4 linked regions of the Oreochromis niloticus genome follow. The protein of the gene in region 4 purifies or fractionates together with the protein of the main gene of each other region. This does not show direct contact. Links are inferred from orthologs where the notes say so. Each region holds a gene or a part of one and is shown on either strand. Other genes may lie near its edges. The genes, in order: anapc11, cdc26, ccnb1 and cdc27.

Region 1 (7,386 bases), on a different chromosome or scaffold from region 4:
TATAAAACTAAATTACTTTAGCCAGGTGAGAATATGGAGCAAATCTAGAATGACTGACTGTAATTTTTCAGTACAAACATTTTATTAATCATTGATGACAAAAATACAGGCTCCTGAGTGAGGAGTGAAATAAAAAGCACTGGAAGGAACGGTCAGTGCAAATCATTACACAGTGATCATGTTGGACCACCTTTGTTCTTGATGAAACACCTGGATCCGGATGGGAGTCATCTCCCGCCACAGCACAGCAGGGGTCACTGAATAGTTTGAGGATGAAAATGATGTGAATCATCTGCTACGGCCTTCACAGTCCCCAGATCTAAGCTCATCTACAGAAATGTCTCCAACCCCAGTGTGTCAGTAAATAAGAGGATATCTTCTGAAAGTATGGTGTGTAGTGGCTCCAGCAGAGATGCAGACTTAGAGAATAATTGTTAAAGAGCACTTAAGTTATTTAAGACCTTATTTAAACAATTTATGTTTTTGGAGACGTCCAAGAGTTAAGGGATAAATTGAATAGAAGATATTTAATCAGCATTGTTTTGATAACCTTGTAAATTTTTTTTCCATTTTTATCCAGACAGGTTCTGACATATGAAAAGCTACAGTCTTTGTTTTACAGTGAAAAGCTACACAAACAAACAAGAAATAATACATCAGTGTGGAGCTGCCATGAAATCAAAGTCAAACTTCACGATCCAAGGAAATAATCAGCCAGACCTTCAAGACAGACTCAATACAATGCATGTTTTTTTTCTTATTTAATTTAATCACAAATCCTTACCAGTAGAATAAAACATATTCAGCGTGTGTTCTGCATTAGTAGAAGTACCAACACAGATTTATTTACAGTCTACATAAAAGTCTGTGAGCGAGCCTTTCGTCTCTGTGGCAGCGACGCCTCCACAGGTTCACTCCTTGAACTTCCACTCCTGCCGGCACATGGGGCACTGCTGCTGGACCTGCTGTGAGTTCAGCCACTTCAGGATGCAGTGCATGTGGAAACAGTGGGAGCACTGACCCCAGACCAGCGGGCAGTCATCCCCAGGCACTTTGCCTGCAAAACAAACAAACAAACACATTAGAGATACTGGGCAGGATTTTGCATTCAGTTGCTGATTAGCAGATACTTGTATCCTCTTGTAATACTAAATGAGGATAAAACAAGTGTTTCCCCACACAGACCACTTAAGTATATTTAAGAACTCATTTCATCCATTTGTGTGAGCAGCGCCATTCCCCGATCAATTTAGGCATTTGCTCTTATTTTGAAAGTTGAGTTGCTGCTAACTAGCTACCCGTGACCTTTCCCGTGTTGCCTTTTCTCCAGTGAGTGGCTCACAGACCTAGCTGCTGTTGTGGCGGTCTTCAATATCAACCTAAAGAACCTACGGACAATACTACAAGACACTGCAGCTGGAGTTGATCTCCAAGATGGGTCACTGGAGCAGCCATCCATCCATTTTCCATCGCAACTTATCTGTGATAAGTGGTGGTGGAAGCTCTTTATCCTAACTCGGGGCCTCCTCCCAGTTGGACATGCCTGAAACACCACCAGAACAACCTCAAGTGTCTCCTTTCGATCTAGAGGAGCTGAGGTTCTGCTTTGAGCGTCTCCTGACTAAAGTGCTCATCCTGTCTGTAAGGCTGAGCCCAGACAAGCTTCACAAGAAGTTAATCTCTCCCACAAATATCCCAAATTAATATCTTTCAGACGCCTCTCACAGCGACACCTTTTCCTTCATGCTACCGTGTCAACAGCGTCTGTGCTGTTAACAACCAGGAAGGTTCCTCTCCTCTTTAGTCCAGAGGATGTGGTGACCCAGTACAATTTCAAATTTCAATTCATCTGACCTAAGAACAGTTTTTCTACTTTGCCTCGGTCCATTTTGAATGAGCCCAGAGGAGATGTTGATCATGTTCACATACAGTTTGCTCTTTGGATGACACAAACCTGGATTTGTGGATATTTGTGGTAAAACTGTCTTCACTGACAGTGATTTCTGGAAATGTTATTGAGCCCTTGCAGTGATTTCCATGACAAAATCGCGTCTGTTTTAAATGCAGTACAGCCCTAAGATCACAGGTATCCTATTGATTTTTGCCCTTAACCCCTTCACACAGATACTATGTGCTGTAGACGACGCGATATTCTGAGGCTTTACAATTTTATTTTGAGGAACATTTTTCTAAAATTGTTCCACAGCTTGTAGAAAAGTTTTTTTGTAGAGTGGTGATTTTTTCCCGTCTCTGCCATCGTTCTCACTACTTAGTTTGTACAAACGGGAGGGGCAGGATAAATTTGGCATATTGTCGATCGGATAATACGTAAAGCGTTATATGTTTTAGAAGCAAAACCACCAAAATAATAATCTTGTTTTGTTATGTTTGCATCTTTAATGCGGACACTCGTTACTTAATGCTATGTTATTAGCTCTGATACTCACAGTCAGGACAGCAGCCGTTGAAGGCCATCCTGCAGATCCCACAGTTGTCATCGTTGGCCACCCAGAGCCAGGAGGCAACCCCGTTCCACTGTTTGATTTTCACCTTCATCCTGCGGATCTGACAGGAGCACAAAAGCATCACACCGGAGCAGCTAACGCTAGCACGAAAGCTAATGTTGACACACGATTTCTGAATATTAATGTTCAGCAACACGTTCTTACGTACAAGGCAGCGACCACCGTCTCCTTCAGGTATCTCACACTCGTTAGGTTAGTCCGTTTCTTAGCAAAAAACAAATCATTTAGAGCTTGTTTGACTGAAGTCTACAACATAAAAGTGATGTTTTAGCAACCCGGGCAAAAATCGTCTCTTCTTCTTCTGTTGAAAGACTGCCAGGCTATGTCCCGGGATGGCGCATGCTGCCCTCTACAGTCGGATGGGGGGAAACCTCAAAATAAAAGAGCACCAAAGATCTGATTTTAAAGAAAACAATCCTGACATCATCAGGTTAGTAACACAAAGGAGCTCCTGCCAGATGTTTCACGAGCTCTGTAACGATTTTGAAAAGGTGATGCTGTCATTCTAATGTTTACACTTGCTTATTTTTTGACAAACATACTTATTTTAATGAACCTTTATTCTATCATTGACCATTTGAGGCAATCTCATTCATTTGGACCTACCTGATATTTTCTATAATATAAGAAATAATAACAATGATTTTTTAAGGGGCTAAACAGAATTGAAATTGAAATATTTGCAGGATGGACACTTGTACAACAATAAATCTGTAATGTGCACATAAAAGCAGCACATTTGGAAATTAATAAATAAATCCTTATTGTTAATGTTTAAAACAACTAGTTTTCGCAGCAACATCAAAACAGACAAGAGCATGAATATGAAAATAAAAGGATACAAACAGCGAGGTAGTATATGCAAAATAATAGTGCATGATGATTATAATATACAGTGCAAAAAATGAAGAATGAGAGGGACAGGGGTTAATTCACTTGTAGTTCTTGGGGTAGGGGTTTATTGCAGTAGAATAGGAGAAGAACTGGGGGGATGTATTTGACTTGCCTGTGGGAAGAAGCTGTTTTGTAATTTGTAATCTATTGTAATCTGTTAGAGCTCAATCAGAAGCAGAACCATTTCCAGAGGACTGTGGCATTGCTTCAGGTGATGTTGAGGATGTATCCATTAAACTTAGTTTTTTTTGCACTCATCCTGCGTAAATCTCACTCAGGGATGGTAGTATCACACGTCTGGAATGACCCAAGCAGGTCTTTTCCGTTTTTGATGAACCACACCGTGCAGCAATAGATGATGAGGCCCGCTATTGTTGACTGAGAGAAGCTGGTCAGCAGGTGATGAGAGAGGATCTTTAACTTCCTAAGGATATAAAGCCTTTCCCCACCCGATGGGAGATGTGTGGTGTGGGTGAGATCGACCAGGATGTCCACACCAAGGAACTTAAAGCTCTCCACTTCCTCCACCTGTACGCCTGGAGCAGAGTGCTCGGTATGCTTCAGGTTTCTTAAGTCTACATTGCTTCTCTGCTTTTTGCTGTGTTTACGTCCAGATTATTGTGACAACATCATACAGTCAGAGGCTGAACTCGTCACCTGCCATCATCAGCAAATTTGACAGTGGTGTTGGTTTGGTGTATGTGCAGTCATGGGCTAAGAGCGAGCTGAGGACAAATATGCACACATACATGAAAACCTTGACACGTCTCCATTTTGTTTTGTTTTCTTTACAAGCAATTGTAATGCTAGATGTCCACTAGATGTAGTTGGTCTGCAATCCAGTGTGCTGAGGTAATGCTCACACTTACAGCACTGGAAGCACATCTGGTCTTCCTTCTCCCGGACATTTTTGTGTACACTTTCTATTCCTGCATCTTGTTAAAATTTTATGTATCCGTTTCTATTTTTTCTAACATTATTTTTACATTAAGGGAAACAAGCACCATTTCCATTTTACAGAATCTGAGATGATCAACTTTCAGTGATGAAATGCAGGTCACTCAGTGCAGAGAACCTTTGATCATTAGTGGAGTTGGAGATGCAGCATGAGGCCCGTATTTGTAACTTCACAGATCACCATGTCACTAACAGATGACTGCAAGGAATGTAAAAGCAATTTTTAGTTCTAAGTAATAAAAACATTTTAATACAGGACTTAAATAACCGTGACAGGAGTCTGCAGTTTCTTATAATTCAAGTTTAATGCTGAAAAACGTAAAGCCACCATTTTCTCATTAATCCACACATCCTTTTTACACAATATCTCACACAAAGGTAAAGAGAAGATATGCAAAGATGAACAGGGAGCAGAGAGACTGATGAATGTGATGAACAGTCACGACAGACAGTTATAGCCCTCATTTTTCAGTGAGATGTTGGTGAGAGGTGCTCACCCTCCAACAGCTAAAGTCAGAGGCAGGTGAAATTTCTGGTGTTCAAGAGAATGAACTGAAATGGAAATGAAAACCCATCGCATCTGAGCACACTTACTTATGCCTACAGCTTCAATTCAAAAAAGGTCCACTCTGCTTTCTAAGATCTACACACAAAACTGGAGTGTGAAAGTGTGAGAATAGTAAAAGGAATATAAAGCAGTAGTCAGGTTTGAACTGTTGCCTCATCAGTCGAACCTGTGAGAAGATGAAGATCAAATCGCCTGAAGGAATAACCAGGTGAAGTCAAGTGTGCCGTCTTAGAGCAGGAAGAGAGAAGAGTGGAGAAACACATTTTACAGGCATCTTCCTCCCCCCACTGTAATTAACATTCACCCCTTTACCCCATCACACACCCATAGCCCTCATCACGAAGAGGGCCACTCAGTAAAACAATTCATGTTATTGCAGTTAATGACATGTAGATACCACAAGTTAACCAGTAACTATTAAAAAAAAAGGAAAAAAAGAAGCAGTTTTGTGTATCAAAAACAGGCAGGGTCCTTATTTTTTTTTTTTTCGTAGGAGGGAAAACAAATATGAACACACAGATGCCACAGCTGTCTTGCTCACGAGGTCTGAGCATTTCCTGTCATCCAGTCCTATAAATAACGCCAAATTTTTGTGCTTCTTTTTGATGTTTCAGTGAAAGAAATGCTAAAACCAACTTTCCACAGTTGTTTTACCGTTACAAATGTCTTTAATTTGGTATACCAAAAAGTAGTCCCGACTGTCTTATATCAGCTAAAGGAGATTCATATTTTATTTATCATTAAATATTTGATCTGATATTCGGTCCAAGTGCTCCAACATGCTCTAGAAAGACTTGAGTCATGTGAGCTACAGAAACCTACAGAGCTGCTTTCAGGGGGACTTGTTTTGGTTAAAGAGTCCCAGAATAAAGACAGACTGCAGGAGTGAGAGAAAGACCAACACTGGCTCATCTGCAGCTCTCTTTTCAAGTCAAACTTTGACGGGACAATAAACACGTTAAAGTGATGCAGTAATCCTGTTGCTTTTTACAGCAGAGTATCACAAAGAAGCAGCTGCCGGACTGTAACATTAGATTAAGCATTATAACTGTTTCAGCACATGTATCATAAACAAAGTTTTAACGTTTGTAACCCAAACTGCTCGAAAATCTGTTGAAAATTCAGCGAGGTACAATGATCCGTGATCGTGTGCAGATGTGCGCTGCCCGAGGAACATGGCGCTGCGTGAAGTCATTACAGTGAAGAGCAACAACCAGTGTGGCATCTGTGTGCATATATGTATGAGGAAACCCCCCCCCTCTTATTTTTTTGCCGTTGTTGTCAGCTGCACTGTGTAACCATGGCAACAGCACCCAATGACTCTTGGCAAAGCTGAACATTTCTGCCCTCGACGGGGAGTCTGATCTGTGCGAAGTCATCAATGCTTATCAACCAAATAGAACACGTTTTAAAAAAGAAAATGAAATGTTCATTCGACTCACGATCGCTTGTCTATTACAGTGGTGACTAAGTGATGCTTACAAAGGCTAAAATGGTATTATTCATTGACACATGGCTCTTAAAATGGCTATATCTTAAATCTTAAATAAGAGATCCGTAAACCCAATCACCGCGTGAGCATGCGGCAGGCCGCCATGCCACTTCACCCATCAATTGTCTCCAAAACACAAACAAACCAACACTAGCACTTGTACAGTATCGATGTGGTCTACTGGCGCGCTGTCAAATGATAAATCACAAAGAAACATTCACCCCTAAAGCACACTGAAATCTACATCACTCTGGAAAAGTAACGATGGCAGTTCCACCCAACTGACCACAACCGTCCAAATTCAGGCATTTCATTGGTTAGCAAGCGCCAGCCAATCAGTAGCACATTCACCAATCAGTGACAAGGCATTTCCTTGACTGCTTCATTTAACTTGAGTTCCTCAAATGTGCAGACGCTTGACAGAAAGCAAAGTAACTGCGGCCGTTCCACGTTAAGATTATTTTTTTATATATATTTTCAAAGCATGAGGTAGGGATGCACCGATGAATCAGCCAAGTATCAGCTGATAAGATGGCGTTACTGACTTTTGCGCTGGCTAAATGTTCAAAAACTGTTCCATGAAGAGCTAAAACATGCATTTTTTTTTTAAATAAAGTTTTTTTTTTTCTTTTCATTTCACCTAGAACAAAAACAAAATAAATACTGAAAAAAAAAATGTCAGTATCAGTGCTGGATTACGGCCTAGTATTTCACAGTCAGTGCATCCCTTACTACGAGGACAGAACACGTGTCGAGGAGAAAATCTGGCAAATTATTTTTGTTTCTCTCCTGACAAAATGTCTGTAGACAAGAAACGGTGGTGCCACAGAATTCAGCCGTTTACCGACTCGAGTTTGCCCGTCTGTCTGCCTGTACACAAGAAAAAGTTCATCTGCAATCAGCACCCGTGATGACGGTGGCCCAGCGGTGCAGCGCAGACATAAAAAGAA
Region 2 (7,517 bases), on a different chromosome or scaffold from region 4:
TGTTCGTCAGTGGTTCCAGTTTCAGTCATTGTGCAAAGGTACTGTTTATAAGGTGCCCGTTGTGATTTGGCACTATATAAATAAAACCACCCCTCTGAGGGCGGAACCAGGACACGCTGGAAAGATTACATCTCTGAGCTGGTCTGGAAACACCTCCCTGTCCCTGTAACTGGATCCCGGATAAGCAAAAGAAAATGATGGAACGAAATGAATCGACCCACACACGACATCCTGGCAGGAAATTTCTCTGAGTCCGTGAGCGTGTTCAACAATTATTTGACAGTTTTACTTTAGATTTAAAGGGGAAACCCAAGCTCGGTTACTCTGCTGCTTACATTTCTTCTTTTACCCGAGCATGTGGAAAGACTAAATTTAATATTACCGATTGGTTATTGGTTGTCATGGTGACATGGCTGCACATGAAACATAAAAGACAGCGTTCAGTGGTGAAGGTTAATGTGGATGTTTATGTATTCATCAGGCGGGTTTGAGACGGAGGGATTTTTAGCGCTTTTATCCTTCTGTAATACAAGGACTCAGTGTGGTGCCCTGCCTAGTATCTGTGAGAGGAGTCTGGAAGAAGCGGTGCACTCAGTGGTTCTCTTTGCTCCTCCTCCTCTCACGCTTTGATGATGACTCACCGGGGAAGAGAATATCTGGCCAACCAGAGCCGAGCATCCTTTAGGGAGGGGGAGCCTTCGTGGTACCATGTCTGCTGGCACTATGATTGGTCAGAGAGAAAATGTTTAGATCATGCGACCAGGTGTTCTGAAGCCCCACCCACAGTCCAGGTCAGCTGACCTCATCCTGCGACCTCTTCGCTCGCTCTTCGTCCTTCCTGGATTTCTTCAGAGCATCTGGACCGACCACGGACAGCACGCTGCGCAGCCTGAAGACATACACATGCATATGCATACACTTTTACTTCCTGTTTGCTTCCTGCTTCCTTCCTATCACACTGATAAAGTTTGACAGGGTTTTTTTTTTTTTTTTTAATTACTGCCCTAAAATGTTTCCAAGATGACTGCTGAGAGTGTTATTTTGCCCCACCTTTCGCGGCGGTCAGCTGGTCCCTCTCCAAACAACGTGATTGGCTCCCCGAGCGCACGGAGGCCAGCTTTCACCTCAGCGTCATCAGTGGACACGGTGATCTGTCGGGCTCGTCGCCGTCGCTCAAACTCAGCAAGCGCTTCCTGCTGCCGCTCACTGACCCGCTCTTCAATCTCCAGAGTCTCCCCTGCAGGGCATCATGGGAAACAGAGTTAACCAACTTCCTGCTGTCAATTAATCACAGATCTGATTGGGCAGATGTTATTGATCACATGATCAATCAGAGCCTTGACTGTCGGCACTGTGGTCAGCAGAGGGTGGAGGTTTTTCTAATGTTTTTTAAGAGAGATGTTATCAGAGAAATGGTGAACAAACAGCTAACCTGATGAGATGTTGATGTTTCCCGCCTCAATTCCCGCCCTGACTGCATCGCTTCCTGTTGCTGTGCTGCTTGCCACATTAGCGCTCAGACGCTCCCGCTCTTTCTCCTCCAGGCTTCCATAGAAAACTCTGCTCTTCTTCACGGCCGGAGCCACATCCTCCTCATCGGACATATTGACTTCTTTTTTCCGGAGAAACAACAAAAACACATGAGGAAGATACAGGTGACATTTTTAATGACAAAAAGAAAAACTGCTCAGAAGAAAAAACATTATTGATATAATGAGCAGCAGCAGAATGGCTGAAACTCAAACAATCACCCTGATCAGTAATAAGTGATCAATCAGCAATGTGAATCAGACACAATTCATACTAAACTTGAACACCTTTATTTTGAACTTCGTTTTTGAGCTGCTGTAAGTTCCTGCTCAGCTTCACTTGATGCTGTCGGTCAGACAGAATGACACGCTCACAATGATCAGCATCTGTTACAATGGTGAAATGATCTTAATACACCTGCTGACATGTTAATCTCACCACAGAGCTCCACCTCACTGATCTCCAGGTGTGGGTCACAGACAGGTGTTGCACCTGAGGCATGGATTTCCTCTCATCCAGGTAACTTCAGGTTATGCTGGGTTTCTGTACTATTAAGGTCGGAGACTTCCTCCTCATGCAACTCACTGTTGTAACTGATGGGATTTACCCCAGGTTAGAGATCAACAGGTATGAAATCACACCTACTGACCAATCACTATTCCTGGATGATCCCTCAGAGCTCTGCAGGGAGAGTTGCAGGGTGTTTTTCCCTGATCGTCAGTAGTACAAACCGGATTCCAAAAAAGTTGGGACACTAAACAAATTGTGAATAAAAACTGAATGCAATGATGTGGAGATGGCAAATGTCAACATTTTATTCAGAATAGAACATAAATCACGGAACAAAAGTTGAAACTGAGAAAATTTATCATCTGAAGGGAAAAATATGGTGATTCAAAATGTCTTGGTGTCAACAAATCCCAAAAAAGTTGGGACAAGGCCATTTTCACCACTGTGTGGCATCTCCCGTCTGGGGACCGAGGAGACCAGTTTCTCAAGTTTAGCAATAGGAATGCTCTCCCATTCGTGTCTAATACAGGCCTCTAACTGTTCAATCGTCTTGGGCCTTCTTTGTCGCACTTTCCTCTTTATGATGCGCCAAATGTTCAAAAAAGATCTGGACTGCAGACTGGCCATTTCAGTACCCGGATCCTTCTCCTACGCAGCCATGATGTTGTGATTGATGCAGAATGTGGTCTGGCATTATCTTGTTGAAAAATGCAGGGTCTTCCCTGAAAGAGATGACGTCTGGATGGGAGCATATGTTGTTCTAGAACCTGAATATATTTTTCTGCATTGATGGTGCCTTTCCAGACATGCAAGCTGCCCATGCCACACGCACTCATGCAACCCCATACCATCAGAGACGCAGGCTTCTGAACTGAGCGTTGATATCAACTTGGGTTTCTGCGCAACATTGTGGGAATTGGTGATCCTCTACCCATCTTGGCTTCTGAGAGACACTGCCACTCTGAGAAGCTCTTTTTATACCCAATCATGCTGCCAATTAACCTAATTAGTGTTAATTGGTCTTCCAGCTCTTCATTATGCTCAAATTTACTTTTTCCAGCCTCTTATTGCTACTTGTCCCAACTTTTTGGGGATTTGTTGACACCGTGAAATTTTGAATCAACATATTTTTCCTTTAAACTGATACATTTTCTTGGATTAAACTTTTGATCTGTCACCTACGTTCTATTCTGAATGGAATATTGACATTTGCCATCTCCACATCATTGCATTCACTTTTTATTTACAATTTGTTTAGTGTCCCAACTTTTTTGGAATCCGGTTTGTAAACACTCAGTTTTATTCTTTTCTAAGCATCAATATCTGAGCCTAAAGCCCCTTTTCCATTAGTACGACTGGTTTTCCATAACAATCGAGTACCACCTGATCTGTGTGATCGTCGTCACAGCAACGACGCCGAGTTTCCTGTGAAGTAATTAATAACCAACACGAATGCTACAACAAAGGTGGACATGGAGGCGACGATATACCTGCTGCTCGGTCTCTGGCTTTCAATTAGACTCAGGGAACGGGGCATTGTTTTTTGTAGCCATTTCATTTCGTTGCCTGGTTTCAATAATGGCGTTTTTGATTTCATGAACAAGACGCTTTCATGACTCATCGAGTGGTACCACTGAGCAGCCAATCAGTGGCATGCAGTTTGACGACGTCACATTTAAGTACCTGCTTGGAACCCCAGCCCAGCAGGTATTATAAAAGTACCTGGTACCAGGTACTATGACCTGATGGAAAACCCTTGAAACCGTGGCGAGTACTAATGGGAAAAGGGCTTAAAACACCTGCGCTGTCCCTGCTGACGTCAGGTCAAGTCAACTGAGAGAAAAACACTGTGTTAACGTTTCTGGATTAAATTATGTTAAGAGTCCACGTCTCACGACCCACAAGGATCTGTGTGATGGCCACACTCAGAGCTGTTCCAAACACCAATGAAAGGAGCTTCAATGCTTCCTTTACTGAACAGATGAGACACTGGAGCATCCTTTATGAAAGGGAAGGAGCGACAGACTTATCTGACTGTTCATGAAAACAATCATATAAAAACCAAAGTGGAGCAGAGCATGAAAATGTTCATCATAACTTTTCCATTTCATCCATAAGCTGCTGATATATTCATAGTTTTTAACAGAAGCTGATAAACTCACAGCTGAACTCAGAACATCAGACTGCTGGAGAACTACCTCCTGTTGAGTTGTTACTGCATGAAGAACAGATTTACATAAACACTCTAAACATTAAGATCTCTATGAGCTGCTCACTAAGTTTTAGCTTGTGAATATTCATCCAGTTGTAGTACACTGTGTACCAGAGTTGCGCCTCTTTCAACGTTTAAGGCATCTTCAGTAAATCCAGCAGACTTTTAACCACCATCAGTACATCTGAGCCTGAATCTTTGTTCTTTAAAACTCCACGCTGGGTTTTTTTTAACAGGCAGCTGACCTGGCACAACAAAGGCCTTCGCAGAATCAGGCTGAGAACATGCTGTGTTGAATTCAAATTGTATTTGTAGTCCATCCTCTGAACTTTTGAGTTTCAACACCGCGGACATGTTTACAGGCGCCGCTCTAGGTGACCTCTGACCCCGTCCCCGTGTTAGGGTCAATGATAACGAAAACAGAGATTCGTAGTTCAGACCTCTAAGCCTCCTCCTGCAGCTCTGCACCGATCAGTAATCGGTAACTCCTCACTGTTTCTCACCTGTGAGTGTTTCAGGTAAAGCTGTGCAGTCAGCGGAGTCAGCGCGACCCCGGAGCCTCTTCGAGGGCTGAGTGGCGGTAACACGCCGGAGTACGAGCTAACGGATGAGGGGGTAGAGCACAGTACGGCTGATCTACGCTTGGACGTTTGCCTCACCTGTGCAGTTGAACGCAGCGGCTCAGAGTGCCGTTAAACCGTTGAATGAGACATACTTACCGGAGGAAACGAACGACGCGCCTACGCGGAGCTTCGTGACCCGGAAGTTCTGAAGTGTCTCCGGCTCAGAGGTTGCACACTTCCGGTGGACACAGCAGCTGCAGAAAATAAACAGAGAGAGAAACGGCGGGAAAGAGCATTACAACTCGTATATCAGGTACCTGCACACCTGTTCACACTGAGGGTATCCGCGAGGACTGTCCGTTACCGGTCACTGTAACGTCACTGCGACTTCACTTTAGCGCAGCTTAGCTTAGCTTAGCTTAGTTTAGTTTAGTTTAGCTTAGCTTCTGTGAAATCCATCTGCGTGCGCACAGTGCGCATGAGTGGCGACTTAAGGAGCGGAAAGGTCAGGGGTCAGAGGTGAGACTGTTATAGCCAAGGTATGTCAGCAGCCAGTCAGATGAGACCTTTAAAGGTGTCTTTATAACCTTCAGGGCATCCTTTAGAAAAGCAAGCGAGCTAATGACTGAGTGGTGATCAGTCGCAGGAGATATTGCTCCAATTGATCATTGAATCACGAAGTGACTTCTGTGCAGGAATAGGTGTTCTCATGGTTTTTCACAGTTTTTCAGGCTGCTGGTTCTTTTCTGGTGTTTCCTTCTGCTGCCATCACAACAGCAGACCCATAGTACCATCCACACTCATTTGACTGACCAATCTGAGAGCAGATCATGCTACTGGTTCCTGTCTAAACGGCAGGTGTAGTTTAGTTTCTATTGCTTTAGAAGCAGCTGGATGCCCTGAGCTCCGCCCTGAGGCCCATACCCCGGGTATCTCTCGGTTACCCTGACGTCAATAATCAGGAGGAGACTTCAGGAGTCAGTGTTGCCGTGGTGATAAGTTACCTGGACTCCTGCTGTGGCTTTATATCAATACGTTCATCATCAGGATCAAACACAGACATCAAACAGTGTGATCAGTGATTCTGATAACAAATATCAGGAAACATTTTTTAGATCTGATCGATCCTAATTATTGATCTGATGGAAACGATAACTGATACTGATTGCTGTTATTTATCAGATTTCAGAATAAATTAAAGCTTCTGTGTCTGAGCAGAAATAAATGATTTATTGATCCTTTAACCTTCATCACTTGACTTTTCTCCTTCCTCTGAAAACTTTTGAAGTCAACCTGCTCAATATAGGCATCATCATGACAACAGGAGTTGTGGTCTTCTAAGGTTTTATTTTGAAATTACAGGCGGCTGCTACGGCCTCATGATATTCACAGTAAAAGCACAACAGCTTGTTTCTTTTTGTGCCACCATCAACTTTAGAGGCTGTAAAGATAACATAACATAAGATAAGATAAACCTTTATTAGTCCCACACATTGGAAATCTTTTGGTCACAAAAGCATCTGGAAACAGGAGGGGTGACTTCAATAGAAGCGTGTGATATTTTATTTTGAAAAGGTTCAGGAAATGTGTGCAGTAAATCATATTCATCAGTTTTATAGAACATTGAGCTTGGAGGTGAATCATTTTCATCAGTTAGGATGTCAAAAAGCAAACAGATACTCTGTTGTAATCTGAGTACTCAATCGATATATTGATCATCTGCTTTCAGCGTGGACACAAACTGAAAATGTTGAGGAGGAAACCGACTCGTCTAGAGCTTAAGATCGACGACACTGAGGAGTTCGAGAGCGTCAAGAAGGAGCTCGAGGTCTTCTCACTTTAGTACCAATCAATCAGTAACAGTCAATGAGAATGAATAACAATCAGTAACATCTGAGACTTTAAAGGAAGTAAACTGCAAACAGGACATTATCAGGTTTTCTTTTTCTTTAGGCCAGAAAACGTCAGCGAGAGGAGGCAGAGTCGGGAGGTGGAGTGGGTGGGGGCTCTGTAATTGGTGTTGATGTCATTGGGGGTGGAGCCTCTGCCTCCGCATCGTCCTCTACAGCCACATCAAGGGCAGAGCTTATCAATGAGCGAATCGGCTACAAGCCCCACCCCAAACCGGCGACCCTGCCAACCTTATTTGGAAGTTTACAGTTTTAATGATGAATAAAGTTTGAGCAAAAAAATCTTTGGAGTATCATTTTTTTTTACATGAGCAAACATAAACAATGTCAGAGTGAATCGGAACTGTAAGAAAAACATCGTGACCAATACAGGTGCTGTGTTGTACAGCGGTGAGGTGCCAAATTATGTTTATGGGGAGGCACAACTTTAGACTCATATGTATTCACAGTGACACGAGGCCGTCTCTGGTGCTGTTTAAGAGTTTACATTTTTTGCTCGATTATCATTCAGTGTACAATCCACTAAAAAAAATGTTTTTTTCCAGTCTGGAATCATTTTGATATTAAAATGCTAAATAGGGTCAATATTTTTCTTTCCCGTTTCCTCTTTTAACTCAGATGAGAACTGAGCAATTAAGTTCCAATTGCTTTTTTTTCAAATGTATTAACATTATTTTATTTGCACATAAATGTGTCACATACAACACCAGCACTAACATTGCACATTTTTCACTTATACTTTCTCGTAAATTCTGCATTTGCATCATCTTTTTCTTACAATCAACTTAATTT
Region 3 (7,260 bases), on a different chromosome or scaffold from region 4:
CCTTTTTACAAATATGAAAGTTTCTCATGACCGTTCCATAAAACCCATTGTTGCAATTTTGCAACCATAACCTGCACAAGTTTATTCTTGCAATCATGTCAGACACTTGTGTAGGTTCTGCATAGATTCAGCTCAGAAGTCTAAAGTCAGGGATAAGCAAAGGCCAGACAAGCTTTGTTGCACCCATATCATTTAATTTGCCAGGAAGTGCAATAAGTTAACAATGCCACTTCAGCTTTATGCCAACTATTTGTTGCACTCAATTATGGATTACACTCTTGACATTGTTTCATAGGTCTGTTCTTAAAAGAGAACGACTTGAATACTTCAGACCTAGTTGTCGTTTTAGCAAGGGCACCAAGTACACTTTTTTTCTCCCCCAGACACCAAAACCTTCGAGACCCTTCAGATGCACTTACCCATTCTCCAGCATCCAATATTTTGAGGGTGAGTGCCAAAGCGGCACTTGCCACCATTGAAGGTGGTAAATGGACCATCTCGTAGTCAACCATTGTGAGCTCCAGGAGATACTTGGCCAGAGTGTGCTGCTCGGCAGTTACCTGTGAAGAGATGCACGAGAAGTTGATGCACGAACACTTAAACTGTAACCCATCAGCACTTCCTGTGACACCAGATATGCTGCAAACCTCATAAATTTTGGAGGCCCTTCTGAGGAACTGCAGGGGGAGAGGACGACCCAGTTGGAACTTCAGCACCCGCAGAATGGTCATCTCCATATCTCTGATTTGGGCTGTGGTGTAGGCCCTGTCTGTGACGTAGGCGAAGTCTGAGATCTCTGGGGGATACATCTCCTCATACTTTGAAGCAAGGAACATGGCAGTCACTCCAACAAGCTGCAGCTGTTTCTTGGGGACTGGATGGTCCTGTTGGGAGGTATAGTCACCATTAGTGAGATGAAAACCATGAAAGGTGGAACGGTGTAGTGGAGGACTAACAGCATTTATAAGTAGAAGAACCAGGATTCACTCACCTGAAGAAAGCGGTCAATGATGCCCACGGTCATGTACATAGTCTCCTGCAGCAGACGAAACTTCAGATTTACTTGCACGAGCCAGTCAATGAGAATGGCCCTCATGTTGCCTGTCACTTCCTGACCCTGCAGATAGTTTGGTCTGACATTCTGTTCAACCTGAGTAGACAAAAAATGGTTAGTGCTCTTTGGGGAAAGTAGCCCAAGATTCCCACTTTAAATTCCTTTATTTTAAGTTGCTTGCCTCAAGCTGGCGGAGATATTTGTAGATGTCCTTCACATATTCACTGCAGAGCATGGGGTTGTCATAGTCATCTGCGTCGACGTCCCTGATAGCAGTGTGCAGAATGACATCTGAAAACGCTTGGCATAGGTCTGCAGGCTCGCAGCCAGAGGTCTCCATTGGTGTGGGAGATGCCGGCTCGGGTGGGGCCTGCACCTCTGGCTCAGGTTTAACAGAAATGACATCTTTTGGCTTGATCTGTTCAGCCTTTTCAGCTCTGGTTGTAACTTTGGTCTTCTTGAGGGCTTCAGTCTTTACAGTCTAAGGGAAAGCACGTTAAAGCCAGAAATGTCAGTAGTCTGAAAAGGCTAAATAATCTTAATATAGAACCAATTCAGTGGTACTTTCAAATAGAGATCGGTTCCCAGCATGATTGGGCCTCATTTAAACAATCTAGCAATTATGCAATTTCATTTTAAGCTGTGGTTCCTCTTCCGTCTAGAGCTTTGAGTTTTGCCAGACAAATTACAACCAAAACCCACTGAGTGTTTTTCCCAGCACGCTCTTAATTGGAAGACTCACAGCAGGAAGCATGCTAACAAACTCCTGCAGGCATGTTATGCTGCTATTTTAATGTAGCCCAAAAGAGGGCGACATGCAAGTGTGAGTTCTCTTGTTATCAATGCCCCCATTTAAGCAGCAGTCCTGCAGCCATCTGAAGTGCTCCCTAAGGTTAAAATAAAGTTTTAAGACAATCACTTAGGCCCTCTGAATTTTAGTCTAAACAGCACTTAGTTATGCACCACGTTAAGTCAGTTTAAGTCAATCATCTGAGCACATTGTACTCTCAGGGGTTTTCCTGTTCTGTTTGAGATTAAGTATATTTTTAAATTAGAGAATCTAAGCAGGAAAATGTGTAGGCTTCTTTTAGAGCAAGAGGCTAAATGCTGACTAATAACTGGTTCCATGTGTAGTCAAGGCCCAGTGTGCCAGGGGAAAAACAAGTTTAAAAGAACACTTTCATACCCTAACAGGAAGTTGTTTCTGAAGAAACTTGTAAACCAGTTTTATTTTGTCCACCTTAGCCACCGATTTGACTCAATTCAGCATTTTGTGCCCGTTGTTTCAAGTGTGGCCCCACTCGGGCCATTTTAACCATTTGGACATCAGAGCTGGAAGTCACTGTGCCCATATGATTTCACTGCAAAATCCCACCATTTTCCATAGATTTAACAGAAAAACATTTAATTTCAGGATCAAATACTTACCTTTTTCTGTGTGTCTTTGTTAACTGCGATGTTACCAATTTCCCCCAGGGCTGCTCGTGGCTTCTGCGTGGGCCCAGACACAGAACAGGCCTTCCCACCGAGGTCGACCTTGGTGGAAGCCAAGCGATTCTGCAGGAAAAAGAGAAAAAAGAAAATCCACAATGATTATAGTAGTTTGCACGCTTTTATCTTTTAGTTAAGCGGAAACCCTTATTATCGACCTGCTCCATGATAAGAAATCCCAAAGCGACAAACGAAAGCTACGTTTTTGTTTTGGTTTTTTTTAAGCAAAAGACTTAAAGAAAGCGCTTCTAAATGTTTCCCCAGATGCAACGATTAAATAAAAGCAACAAATAGAGATGAAAAAGTCTAACCCGGGTCACTCTCAGAGCCATTTCGAAACAAGCGATGCTTCAACAAACAGGCGAAGAGTCGTAATGGAGAACGGTATGGTATAGATACAAGGAACAGCGAGCGAGGTTTAAATCCTCGCTCGCTGATAGCTGATTCGCTGACCTAAGACTCTCCTTGGCGTCTGATTGGTCGAACGCACCTGTTTGAAATGCGTTCCCCGGACAACTTATGGTCACGTGATTTGATTTCTTGATGTTCATTTCCTTTTCCTGTTACGTCCTGCTTTTTCTCTTTTTCTTTTTTTCTCTGCATTTCAAGTAAATAAATTAATAAGAAGTCACTTTAGGAGGGAGAGGAAATCAAATCTAAAAGTGTATTTTATCGTTATACTTTAAATTCTATTGCCTCAAATTCGTTCAGAACACAATTTCTTTCATTTTGAGTATGATAGACCTTCTTTAACATGATATTTTTGATAGCTCTTTTATTTCATTTAGTGTAATAAAAGTCAATTTCTACCATACAAAGTTGCCTTAGTACATGAGACATCTAAGAGTAAAAATGCCTTCTTGAACGATAGAGGCTGGTTTTGCTTTTATTTTTCTGTTATAGCTTCTAAAAGTCTACATTTCAGATGGAATTTCTCACACAACTCACAATATAACAGTTTACTTTTGTCATCCATTAAATAAGCTACAGTATTTATCGCTTTAGATCTCCGTGTATCTTTAAATGCCTTTGTTCACCAAGTAAAACATATCCACTTAGCAAAAAGTAGATACACTCTGCTTTTTCACTTGGATACATAAATGTAAAGTTGACTCTTATCTCCTTGGCAATAAGTAGATGCATTCTACAACCCAAATTACAAAATATCAAAATAAATAAATGTGTAAAATATAAATAACAACAGAATGCAATAAGATGCACATCATATATATCCATATTATATTTACACCAGAACACAGGAAACATAAACGTACCATTTTACCAAAAAATAAGGTTCTTTTGAATTTGATGGGAGGAACACTTTTCAAAAAAAAAGTTGGGACAACAAAAGCTGAGACACCAAAAGGCTGGAAAAACAGCTAGTGTAAGATTTTATGTTAATAAAAAAAAAGTTAGTTGTCAACAGGTTAGTAACATGACAGGGTACGAAAAGAGCATTTTAGAGAAGTAGAATTTCAAAGAAGTAAAGATGGGCACAGGTTCACTAATGTGCAGCAAACTGCATTTACAAATTGTGGAGCACTTTCAGATTAAAGTTACTCGTTGTGAAATTGTGAAGGTCATCATCTACAGTGCATACTATAATATTATGAAAAAGCTCAGAGACTCTACAGACTCATGTCTGTGGCACTGGACAAGGCTGTGAATCAATACTGAATAGATGTGATCTTTGGGCCCTCAAGCAGCACCACATTAAAAACAGGCATGATTCTGTCATGGGAATCATTGCATGAGTTCATGAACACTTCCAGAAATCAATGTCTGTAAACACAGTTCACTGTGTCATCCACAAATTCAGGTTCAAGCCCTATCATGAAAGAAGGGTACAAGTCATCCATATCATGGCAGTCTCAAGTGCTTGAAAAGAAGGCGACTGGGCTTCTTATTGGTCATCCAAGAGGTTTCTTCAGTTCTAAAACAAGTGACGTAGAGTCCCAGTGGTTTGATCCAGGATGGTTTTTGTTCTCTTGGAGGTCGTCCTTGTGGTTGTTGCCACGATATCAGTCATGTGAGTTTTCCTACTGTGAAAAAAGGCCTGGACCATTACCATCACTGGTGCCAAGGTGTGAAACTCTGTAAAACATTGTCCCAGTATGCTGTCCTGTGAGCTACTGAGGTCATTTGAGGCAAGGTGCCAGTTGAAAACATTAGACCCATTATGAAAAAGTACAATAAAGACCCAGGGCTCTTGAGCAGCTGGAATCACAATGAGACCTCACCAAAAGTCCAGTAACCTTATATGTACTTTGCACTTTACTCAAGAAAGAGTGGCAGTGATGGGAAGGCTGCTCCAGTGACGTACTGTGTAGTTTTTCTCACACGCTGGAGAGCCTTCCTGTCCTGAACAGTGCAGCCTCCACACCACACTGTAACTGAGGCAGCGATGATGCTCTTAGCTCTACATGTATAAAAGTTTCTGGTTGACATGCCAAATTTCCAACAGTCGTCTAAGAATTTTTCAGAAGGTGCTCAGTGTTTTGAGACCAAGTAAGAGAGGAATTTAAAGGGTTTTACTCTCTATATCTCTGCCTCAGTGATGTAATCATTTCTTTGGTCTTATCTACATCTAGAGAATTATTATTTCTTGACACCACACCGCCAGTCCTGACACTTCTATGTATGGCTGGGCCATATTATACCGTTCACGGTAATACCTGTATAATGTTAGGCAATGATAAGAAAAGGAAATATCCCGTTTGAATATGGGTAAACGCGCATGCGCAGTGCCTCTGTTTTCATAAGCACATGTTTTGGTAGAGCATGCAAGCGGGCCGTCGTTATTACCGTTATTACCGATATTACCGAACCGATTTTAGGTGGTACACGGCGGTCAAAAATCTGTCAAAAAATGTTTTAGTACGACTTTCGTAAACTATGAAGCCGCACTGCTTGATGGATTGTCGGAGCATTACGGCTACCGTAGTCGGGATCCTCGCAGAGTAATATGTACTGTGCTTCAACATAATATTACCGCATTGTGTGTGTATAACCTCTTTTTAAGTTTTGTGGTTATTAAACATGGTATTGCTCAGGATATGTTGGCCAGTTTCCCCTGGAAATGCCCTTTGGTTAAACTGTCAGCAAGGAATTTGCATTTGCACTGTTACATTTTATATAGCTTCAATGCACATAAAAAACAGCTGCTTGTTTAAGTGAAAATACATTGATGGGGTTTTTTTTGCACTAATAAAGTTGTGGAGTTGTAAAGTAATTTGTCTTGCGTCAATTATATCGTCAGTTATATCGTTATCGCAAATTTTCAAATATATATCGTGATAAATATTTTTGGCCATATTGCCCTGCCCTACTTCTATGTCGCTGCCTCTCCATCAGCGAACAACCCAATGAGCACTTGGAGAGACTCCCAGAGCTAAGTGAGTGAGGAGAGTTGGATTGTTTGGATGCTCATTTCCCTGGATCCCTGGAGCCCCTGTTTTCCTCCCATCACTACCTTTATGTATCAACCTGGTGTTTCTGCTGTAAATAAATGCACTAAACTTGACTCATGAATGCTGTAATTGAGTCAACTCTGCCCAGTGTTTTTGATCACTAACAAGACATTCACAGGTTTTACAAGAATGTACAAGACGTACACTGTAGAACCTTTAGAGTCACTTATTAAAATATTTAGTAAGTATATTTGATCTTGTGTGTGTGAATGTTTGTGTGAATGGGTGGATGACTGGATGTGTAAAGCGCTTTGGGGTCCTTAGGGACTAGTAAGGCACTATACAAATACAGGCCATTTACCATTTACCATTTGTGTGAATTTAAATCTAAAATAAATTCAGACTTGTGAACCCAGTTTTTGTTTTTAAACAAAAAGAGTTACACTGTAAAATTATAAAAAGTTCAAATAAGTCATTAAAAGCACACAATTACCTTGACATTCATGTTCATAATTTGTGTATTTAAACTTCTGACAAAAACTGCTACATGTTCCTCAGTGTGTGAGGGTGTCATCAGTGTACCGGTTCTGTCTGTCTGTATGTATATTAGGAAGAGTCCAAAGTGGTCCTTTTAATGCTGGTCAAGACCAGTGTTTACCACTTTTAAAAAGAAATCACTACAGCAGCACCTGTGGAAGTTTGGATGTGTCATGTTTTGTACTGTTTTGTTTTTGTCTGCTCTCATTACTTTTAGTGCTGTGTTGATGTTTTGAAATCTGTTTTCCTACATAGATGTTTGCTTATGTGGGGTAAGGGTATGTTTGTAGAAACCAGGACTGCTCTGTCCTGAAATCTTTAGTGGCTCTTCGCCAACAACCCTGCCCTCCAATCAGAAGATCACAATTTCCATGACGTGTACCGGAAGGCAGGGAGGACGCAAACGTAACACGTAAAACTAAACAGATGCCACTACCTCTCCTAGACTGAAGACGTCAGCGGGAGCAACTAACATCACTCCCAGGCGGAGAGAGGACCGAAAAGAAAAGGGCACAAGCGACGATTAAACCTAGACGGCCCTAGTTAGTCAGCTACAAGAGAAATTCAGGTGTTTTTGTTAGCCGAAAAAACAGCGTTTCTGTGGCACAAAAAGGTAAGCCAACACCGAGTAGTTAAACCGCAGTCTGCTGGTTAGTAACTTAGTTGTTTCGGGAAGTGTCTCAGCCTAGGACTAATTGTAGCTACAAACCATTTAAAAAGCACATTTTCCAAAACGAGTAACGTCGACGTTGGTGTAAAATTGGCTTA
Region 4 (7,838 bases):
TTTGATCTACTGCAGAATATTTTCAAAGGGTGAATGTTTGTCTGTGTGTCTATGTGTTAGCCCTCTGACAGACACCTGTCCTCAGTTACTCTGACACAAAGGCCTCTGCTGTGATGCTCACACCTCTGATGAAGTCTCACAGTGTCAACTTTGTTTTCATGCACAGATAGTTCACACTGAGTTTGCAATCGCAGAGAAACATTCAAATAATTTAGAATTAAATGTTTTTCATTTACAAGGTTCAGAGGGTTGTTTTGACAGTACACATCCAAGAAATATGATCATCATCATGACATTTCTGACTGAGTCAGAATGTCATTGAATCTAACCGAGTCGGGTACTTTGAATCAGTTGTCGAAATCAGTGATGATCCCAGCCCTGAGTCGCCGTAGCTCAGTTGTGATTGATGACAGCGACACTGAGATGAACTGCCGAGTACAGCGCTGCCGTTAGTTTCTCTTCTCCTCAAGGCCATATATGAAACTTCTTTTGAAGTGGATCTATCTCAGTGGCACTGAGCAAATAAACTCTCATGACGTGAGAACGTAATCAAACTGTTGATCAGAGGGAAATTAGTTTAAAGACACTACAATCTAATGTTATCTGGCATGACCTCAGCTTGTGACATCATCCTGTTGTTCAGCCATGTCTCAGATGCTCGCATGTCTGATCTGCTGACCATAACTCAATGTGACAATGTTGAGATTAAATATGTTCTTGTAGGATTTCTTACCCATATGGAAAAGATATATATAAATCTTATAAAGTTTGTATCTGTCTTGTGTGAAACTTGTATGAAAAGCATACAAGAGTGAAAACAGATATAAGATCCCTTGAAAAATTATATAAATGAAACTTGTATGTTTTGGATACTTACTAAAACAATATATGAAAGTAATGAGAAAGTGGCCACTTTCATGAGTAAATCATATAAGTTTTTACTATTTCTTTTCCATATGGGTATGTTAGAGCCCCAACTACAGTCCAGGAGTGAGGCTTAAGGTGAGGAGGAAGAGGATGAGATTCCCATATCCATTTTTGTTCATATTCTTCTATCCAAAACAGGAATGTGATAAAAAAAAAAAAAGAAGAAAAAGAGATTATTTTTCTGTCCTTGATGATTGCAGCACCTAACCATGCAGCAGAAGGAACAAAATAGTCACAGTACGTACGAGTGATTTATGTATGAATTATGAACCAAGGAGTTCAGAATCCAGAGCTCAAGGGCTCCAACTGGTACGACCCTCCAACTGCCCACCCTACCAAAGCCAGGTCAGGATAGGCTGAGCCACAAAGCGTGGAAGGACCACACCTGTCCTAACAGTAGGAGCCTGAGTTTGAATGAGGAAATGACGTCAGAAAACATCAATGGAAAGTAAAGTGACAACGTCCCAAAAGACAGACAAGACTCTGAAGATGAGGACGCCGCTGAAAAGGAGGTGGGAGGAGTTAGAGTGTGGAGATTTGGGCCGTTTGAACTTGGATAAAGAAGCAGAACCGCTCGTTTCCATAGAGACAGCACCGTTCTCACCACTTACGATACAACGACACGCAGTGACATCATAAATGTATTTGCCCGCTTCACTGTAACAATGCAATGACAGCAAGCAGAGCAGAAAACATCCAACTTCAGTCACGAGTCACCTCGTTACCAGACACACAGCTGCACAGATGTGTCTCACATCACCTCTACATCTGGAGACACAGACGAGCTTCTGTAAGCCTGCTGTTTCCACACACACACACACACACACACAGATGTGTTGGTGTATCTGTCCAGCTTTTGAGATTCATTTTGCATTAAATCCACATTATTTATCAAACTGAGCCAGAACTGCAAACAGCTGGAAATTATTCTTATTTTTTAAAAAGTAATGTGTTAGAGATAGCTTGTTACTTTTCTTATAAGTAATTTGGTATCTCATTTAGTTACTCACTGAATAAAGTAACTTGTTACATTACTCTGTATTACTACAAAAGGACCTGAAGCCGTCTCAGTCCACCACAAGGCGGCCATGCTGACCTTAGAGCCAGACGACTGGAAAAACTGGCTGTGGAGCTCAAATGTGATCTCCTCCCACACTCAGCTATAATCAGTGTATTTCAACAGTAAACACACAGTTATTGATCAAACGCTGGTATTGATCAGTAGAAAGCTTAAGGACTACGAGCAGTACAGGTTTACCTGACTGTAAACAGTTTTTGACTCTAGGTTAAAATGAAGGCTGTGTCACCTGTACCTGCTAACACCGAGCCATACATAATCAATAGCCAATACCGCAGTTAGAGCAACACTGTGTGCTGCCATTGGTTAGTACTCCAAACACATCTGAGGGCATCATGTGAGACGGGCCGTGTTTATGCCTGATTGTTATCGATGGGGTCAAGCTCAGGAAAGTTATTGATCAATGCGCTGATCGATCACTGCAGCTGTTCCGTTACTGACGTCACTTCACTTTAACTCTGCAGTCACAGTTTACCTGAGTGAGATCACAAACACACCTGTGAGGAGACATTACCCATCAGTCTGCGGCTGACATGGCAGCTAACGGCTAACAGCTAACAGCGGTTCATGTTACCGGGCAGTTAGCTGCCATTAGCCTGTGCTAGCTGTGAGAGTCTAACGGCCGCGGGATACCTTCATCTGTCGCGGCTGATCTGCGGTCAGACTCTGACATTAACAGACTCCCAAGGAGCGGCTTTGATCGTTTTATGAACTTTAAAGCAGAGTTCCTCCTTACTGAAACTCCGCTGAGTGTTAGCAACCGCGTTAGCTGCTAACCGAGTCATGCTAACACAGAACTCCATTTGAAATCCAACCGTTTCTCTCTGCACTCTCACCTGCACACATCTGAAACTCCGTGATATACCTGAGAACATCGGGCCCTGTTCTATGACAAATTCTGCTCACAGTCAGTGACCCACCCACAGCTGGTTCCGGTGAAACACTGACTTTAAAGAGGTCTGTTCGCTCTCCGCGGGTCATTTCCCCTCAGCCGGACTCAGGCCTCTTCAGATGGACCTGTTCGGATTCCGGGTGGTTTTATTTTAAAATTAGACCGTGTTCGTTTTTTGGATCTGAGCCCAAAAGATGTGCGGAACAAAACCATTCATGAAATATCAAATAAACTGACCAATTTCTCCCTTTAATTAGATCGGAAATACCTGGAATCTTAATCTGACAAATATTTAAAGGTGGCTGGCATGACATATCTCAGTTGTACCGGGTGTAAATTAAAAGCTCTGCGTGACCCGAACGGGCCGTGACAGAGGGTACTAACGGACTAACGACCACCAATAATAGCAGAAAACTCTCTCTGTGCCGTCAGCGGCCCTCTATGGGGCCTGCGGCCGAGGAACAGCGCTCTCACCACGGATTGCACCCACCACTAAGGCCGGGGCGCAGAGACAGGCACAAACTTCATAAATGCTCCGCTCCCCACGCGTGACAACGAGCCAAAGGTGTGTATTTATACCTGGACAGGTTCCTGCAGCACCGTCATCCCGCTCTGAGACTCCTTCTGTCCGGTCCGGGGGTCTCTTTTCTCTCCGCTCTTTCTTCACTTGAGTCTCAGGAGGAGCTGCAGCCGAACATTTGAACATACCGACCGTTAGCAACCGAGTACCGCCGAAGATACCCGAGGAGGGAAAATGCCGCGGCGGACATGAACGACTGTCAAACGGAGAAAGCCGAAGTATCTCCTTCGCCTTCTGGTGGTAAAACTCATTACAGCGGTGTTCAGTGTTCTGTCGCCTCCTGGTGCTCAGACTGGTTAGTAGCAACAGCAGACTGGCTGACATGAAGCCATGAGCCATTTAGAATGGCGGCTTTAAATAACTGGCAGTTGTGGTCTTGGGGAGATTGACTATCCTCGGGGAAGATCCTGAACCCCGAGTTTCTCCTAATACATCCATCAATGTGTTTGTGTCAAAGTCAAAGTCAAAGTCAACTTTATTTGTCAATTCTGCCACATGTACAGGACATACAGAGAATAGAAATTTCGTTACTCTCAAACCCAAATGAACATTTAAATATAAGAGAGTGATTAAAAATGCAAGTAGAATAATTAAAAAGTAAAAATTTAAATAAATACAGTACAATTTTACATATAACAAAAAAAAAGCTATACAATATACAATATACAATATTCAGGTAAGGGTAAATGACATTGGGTGTAAACCAGGCAAGGTAGTGCAAATAGGCAAATAGTGCAAATGGAGATTTGGTAATGTACGGTAGGAGATAGTGTAACAACAAAGTCTTATGAGGTAGTGGTGGTCCAATGCTCCACAAAGTGACTAATAACTGGTGCAGGCCAGTGAGTGAGTCAGAGAGTGTGTGTGTGTGTGTGTGTGTGTGACAGAGTTCAGTGAGACCGTGGAGGAGAGAGGGGAGAGGGGGCAGAATCGGGAGGGAGTTAAGCTTCCTGACAGCCTGATGGATGAAGCTGTCCTTCAGTCTGAGAAAGAAGAGACGCTGCTGTGATTTCTTGGCCAGTGCTGTGGTGTTGTACGTCCAGGAGAGATCCTCTGTGATGTGCACACCCAAGAACTTAGTGCTGCTCACTCTCTCCACAGACGCTCCGTCAATGGTCAGAGGAGCATGTTGGGTGTGCATTCTCCTGAAGTCCACAACAATCTCCTTCGTCTTCTCCACATTCAGAGAGAGATTGTTGTCAACACACCACGTGGCCAGGCGTCTCACCTCACTTCTGTAGTCGGTCTCATCCCTGTTGCTAATGAGACCCACCACCGTTGTGTCGTCCGCAAACTTGATGAAGAGGTTGGAGCTGTATGATGGAGTGCAGTCATGGGTCAGCAGAGTGAAGAGGAGGGGGCTCAGCACACATCCCTGCGGGGCCCCCGTGTTTAAAATGATGGTGCTGGATGTATTACTGCCGACCCGTACTGCTTGAGGTCTTCCGGTGAGGAAATCCAACAGCCAGTTGCACAGAGAGGTGTTAAGCCCCAACTGGACCAGTTTTTGAGTGAGCTGTTGGGGGATTATAGTGTTGAATGCTGAACTGAAATCTATGAACAGCATTCGAACATATGAGTCTTTTTTGTCCAGGTGTGTGAGTGCTGAGTGGAGTGCAGTGGAGATAGCATCATCGGTTGAGCGGTTGGGCCGATACGCAAACTGGAAGGGATCCAGGGAGGGGGGCAGGACAGTCTTGATGTGTTGCATGACTAGTCGTTCGAAGCACTTCATCAGGATGGGAGTAAGTGCAACAGGACGGTAGTCATTAAAGCAGGAGGGAGATGACTTTTTTGGAACCGGAATGATTGTGGTGGCTTTAAAACATGTGGGGACGACAGCCTGGATAAGTGATATATTGGATAAGTGATATATTGAAGATGTCTGTGAAGACATCAGTGAGTTCCACTGTGTGTGAATGGTATGGTAACTGTACCGTATCAGACAGGGGCGATTCTAGGATCAGAGCTTTGAGGGTGCTGAGCACCCAGAGAGCTGCCCAGCCAGGCAAGATAAACTTTACTCGTCACGATGAGACTTCTTCCCTGTCTCTGTCAGTCCCTGCATCCTTAAATGTCTCCAGTTGTCCCGAGTTTCCTCTGACTGTCTCTTTGGTGCATTTAAACCCCTGTTCCTCCCTGTCCTCATCGTCTGTTGTCTTCATCTCCATTATCAGTCATCATAATTTTACCAGTTCTGTGCAAGTCTGCAAATTTCTTTATTAAATCATAAGATTCTTAAACTCATCAAGTCTCTCTGTGCCTGGGTCCTCGTCACAAAACATGACATCATTGTTTTGTACATTTTAACACAATTTAATCCCCATATTTGTGAAAGAAAAGCAAAACACTTTTTTTTAAAGTCTGTAACAAAACCATCAAATCAGATAAAGGTTATTTAAATGCTGCAAACGAAGAATGGATTGGAATAATAATAAAAAAAATACATATCCTAACCTTAATTACTGGGGGAAAATGATGAATGATGCTCACAGTGAGTAACAAGTAAACTGAGTGCATTTTTTGGACAGAGATTCACTTTTAATGTGTATGTATAATACAATACAGATATATAAAAATACACTCCAAAAATTGAGTCCTTGAAATGTACAAAATATTGATGAAAAAATTATAAAAATGGAGGCAACTTTGCCTATGGTACAATGTATACAATGTATGAAAAGATCTTTACTGCAGATACTTCTACGGCTCTGCAGATTTTTTCTTTTAATTTAACCTATGTGCCTCACCTTGAGGTTGGCAAATCTGTCTATCACTTTTTGGTGGTCAACTCTCTCAAGCAGTTTAACAGTTTGTTTTGAATGTCACTGTTCCCTGTCTGTTTTCTTACCTGTTTCTTCCTGACCTTGTACTTTCTCCTCACGCTCCCCTCTTTCCTCTCTCCCTCTTTGGACTGACAATCATACACAAATAGATTGTATTCAATTAGATGAAAAAATTACATTAACATTAAAAAAATTATTATTATTAAGAACACTAATAAAAAAAAAGTCCCCTCTCAGTGTACTTTCAACCAAATGGCAAATAACCAAACTACATGTACATCTAATAAAAGATATAAATATTGAAACACTGATCCAACATTATCCTTTATTGACGGATCATTTAATCTTACAAGTTTACCTGAATGTGGCTCCTGGGTTTAATATTGGCACATGCACATATGACAAAATAACCAGCTTCTCTCATTCCACTTCAAACAGGACAGTGGCAACAACAGCAGGCTACGGACAATTTTCAGTTTTAGATTTTAAATAGGCTAAATTTCAATGGGAGCAACAGGACGGTCAAATGTCGCTGATTTTACTACAGAGTAGGATGGATTGTAGGGTAGCAAACATCGTTGGAAAACACGTTTCCAACACTGCAGGTTGCCTGGGTGTAATGTTTTTCAGTTAAAAAGAAACATGGCCTAACTCCTACCTAACTATATAAAGAGTAAGTGAAGGTTAAATGCAGCTAATATGTCCTGTTTTAAGCCAGCACTCACACCTCCGCTCCGCTGCGTGTCAGCCACCATCACTCTGGCAGCAACGGTGCTAGAGCCAGAGTAGGGGAGAGGCGAGCTGGAACAAACCATTTTGGGAGGGGGGGTATCTATACTTTTGTTGTTAAAATGTTACGTCTCAACCAAGTACTGAATGCTTTTTATATTTTTAGTAGTGTGGCACACAAACAGCAAATATTTTCCAAAAAAGTAAGAAATCTTTGGGGGTGCTTTGATCCATTTTTGGGGGTGCTTCAAAAAATGGGCTAAAATCGCCCCTGGTATCAGATCGCAACACCCTACAACAGATAGTGAGAGCAGCTGAGAAGATCATTGGAGCCTCTCTTTCCTCCATCACAGACACTTATAGAACCCGCTCCATCCGCAAAGCCAACAGCATTGTGGAGGACCCACACACACTCTCCACCCTGCTGCCTTCTGGAAAGAGGTACCGGAGCATCCGGTACCTCACTGCCAAACTACGGAACAGTTCTTCCCCCAAGCCGTCAGACTCCTGAACACCCAGTGACTGGAATGACAAAAAACACACACACACACACACACACACACACACACACACACACACACACACACACACACACACCTTCAGACACCAGGTTACTATTTGCACATTTTGCACATTTCCATTGCACTGTCTTGTGTTGTCTTGTGTCTGTATCGTCCTGTTCTGTCTAGAGTTACACTGTCTTGTTTTTTTGCATTTTTTGCACGTTGCACTTCAAGCAGTCCTGTGTTCGTCTGTTATATGTCATGTGTAGCACCAGAGTGTCGGAGGAACGCTGTTTCATTTCACAGGGTGTAGGTCTGTGGTGGCTGTAGCTCAGGCGGTAGA

The links.
Region 1: the proteins of cdc27 (region 4) and anapc11 purify together in Homo sapiens (affinity purification with mass spectrometry; 8 studies listed by BioGRID, with this or other methods). This does not show direct contact. The link is inferred for Oreochromis niloticus from reciprocal best matches to the Homo sapiens genes CDC27 and ANAPC11.
Region 2: the proteins of cdc27 (region 4) and cdc26 purify together in Homo sapiens (affinity purification with mass spectrometry; 12 studies listed by BioGRID and IntAct, with this or other methods). This does not show direct contact. The link is inferred for Oreochromis niloticus from reciprocal best matches to the Homo sapiens genes CDC27 and CDC26.
Region 3: the proteins of cdc27 (region 4) and ccnb1 purify together in Homo sapiens (affinity purification with western blotting; 6 studies listed by BioGRID, with this or other methods). This does not show direct contact. The link is inferred for Oreochromis niloticus from reciprocal best matches to the Homo sapiens genes CDC27 and CCNB1.

What each region holds. Positions count from the first base shown.
Region 1 is NC_031971.2:37,631,698-37,639,083, reverse strand, and holds anapc11 (anaphase-promoting complex subunit 11), read right to left. Parts: upstream 2,833-7,386; 5' UTR 2,674-2,832; exon of another isoform or gene 2,670-2,673; intron 2,566-2,669; 5' UTR 2,557-2,565; coding exon 2,448-2,556; intron 1,058-2,447; coding exon 912-1,057; 3' UTR 509-911; downstream 1-508. UniProt on the Homo sapiens protein: Together with the cullin protein ANAPC2, constitutes the catalytic component of the anaphase promoting complex/cyclosome (APC/C), a cell cycle-regulated E3 ubiquitin ligase that controls progression through mitosis and the G1 phase of the cell cycle.
Region 2 is NC_031972.2:38,212,804-38,220,320, reverse strand, and holds cdc26 (anaphase-promoting complex subunit CDC26), read left to right. Parts: upstream 1-5,001; 5' UTR 5,002-5,128; intron 5,129-5,140; exon of another isoform or gene 5,141-5,334; intron 5,335-6,544; 5' UTR 6,545-6,562; coding exon 6,563-6,643; intron 6,644-6,768; coding exon 6,769-6,981; 3' UTR 6,982-7,009; downstream 7,010-7,517. Other genes in the region: prpf4 (U4/U6 small nuclear ribonucleoprotein Prp4), read right to left, coding at 642-721, 802-889, 1,051-1,237, 1,433-1,604. UniProt on the Homo sapiens protein: Component of the anaphase promoting complex/cyclosome (APC/C), a cell cycle-regulated E3 ubiquitin ligase that controls progression through mitosis and the G1 phase of the cell cycle.
Region 3 is NC_031972.2:31,329,002-31,336,261, forward strand, and holds the start of ccnb1 (G2/mitotic-specific cyclin-B1), read right to left. Parts: upstream 3,016-7,260; 5' UTR 2,878-3,015; coding exon 2,857-2,877; intron 2,612-2,856; coding exon 2,483-2,611; intron 1,536-2,482; coding exon 1,236-1,535; intron 1,151-1,235; coding exon 992-1,150; intron 885-991; coding exon 648-884; intron 561-647; coding exon 420-560; intron 1-419. UniProt on the Homo sapiens protein: Essential for the control of the cell cycle at the G2/M (mitosis) transition.
Region 4 is NC_031969.2:35,400,278-35,408,115, forward strand, and holds the start of cdc27 (cell division cycle protein 27 homolog), read right to left. Parts: upstream 3,015-7,838; 5' UTR 2,881-3,014; coding exon 2,842-2,880; intron 1-2,841. UniProt on the Homo sapiens protein: Component of the anaphase promoting complex/cyclosome (APC/C), a cell cycle-regulated E3 ubiquitin ligase that controls progression through mitosis and the G1 phase of the cell cycle.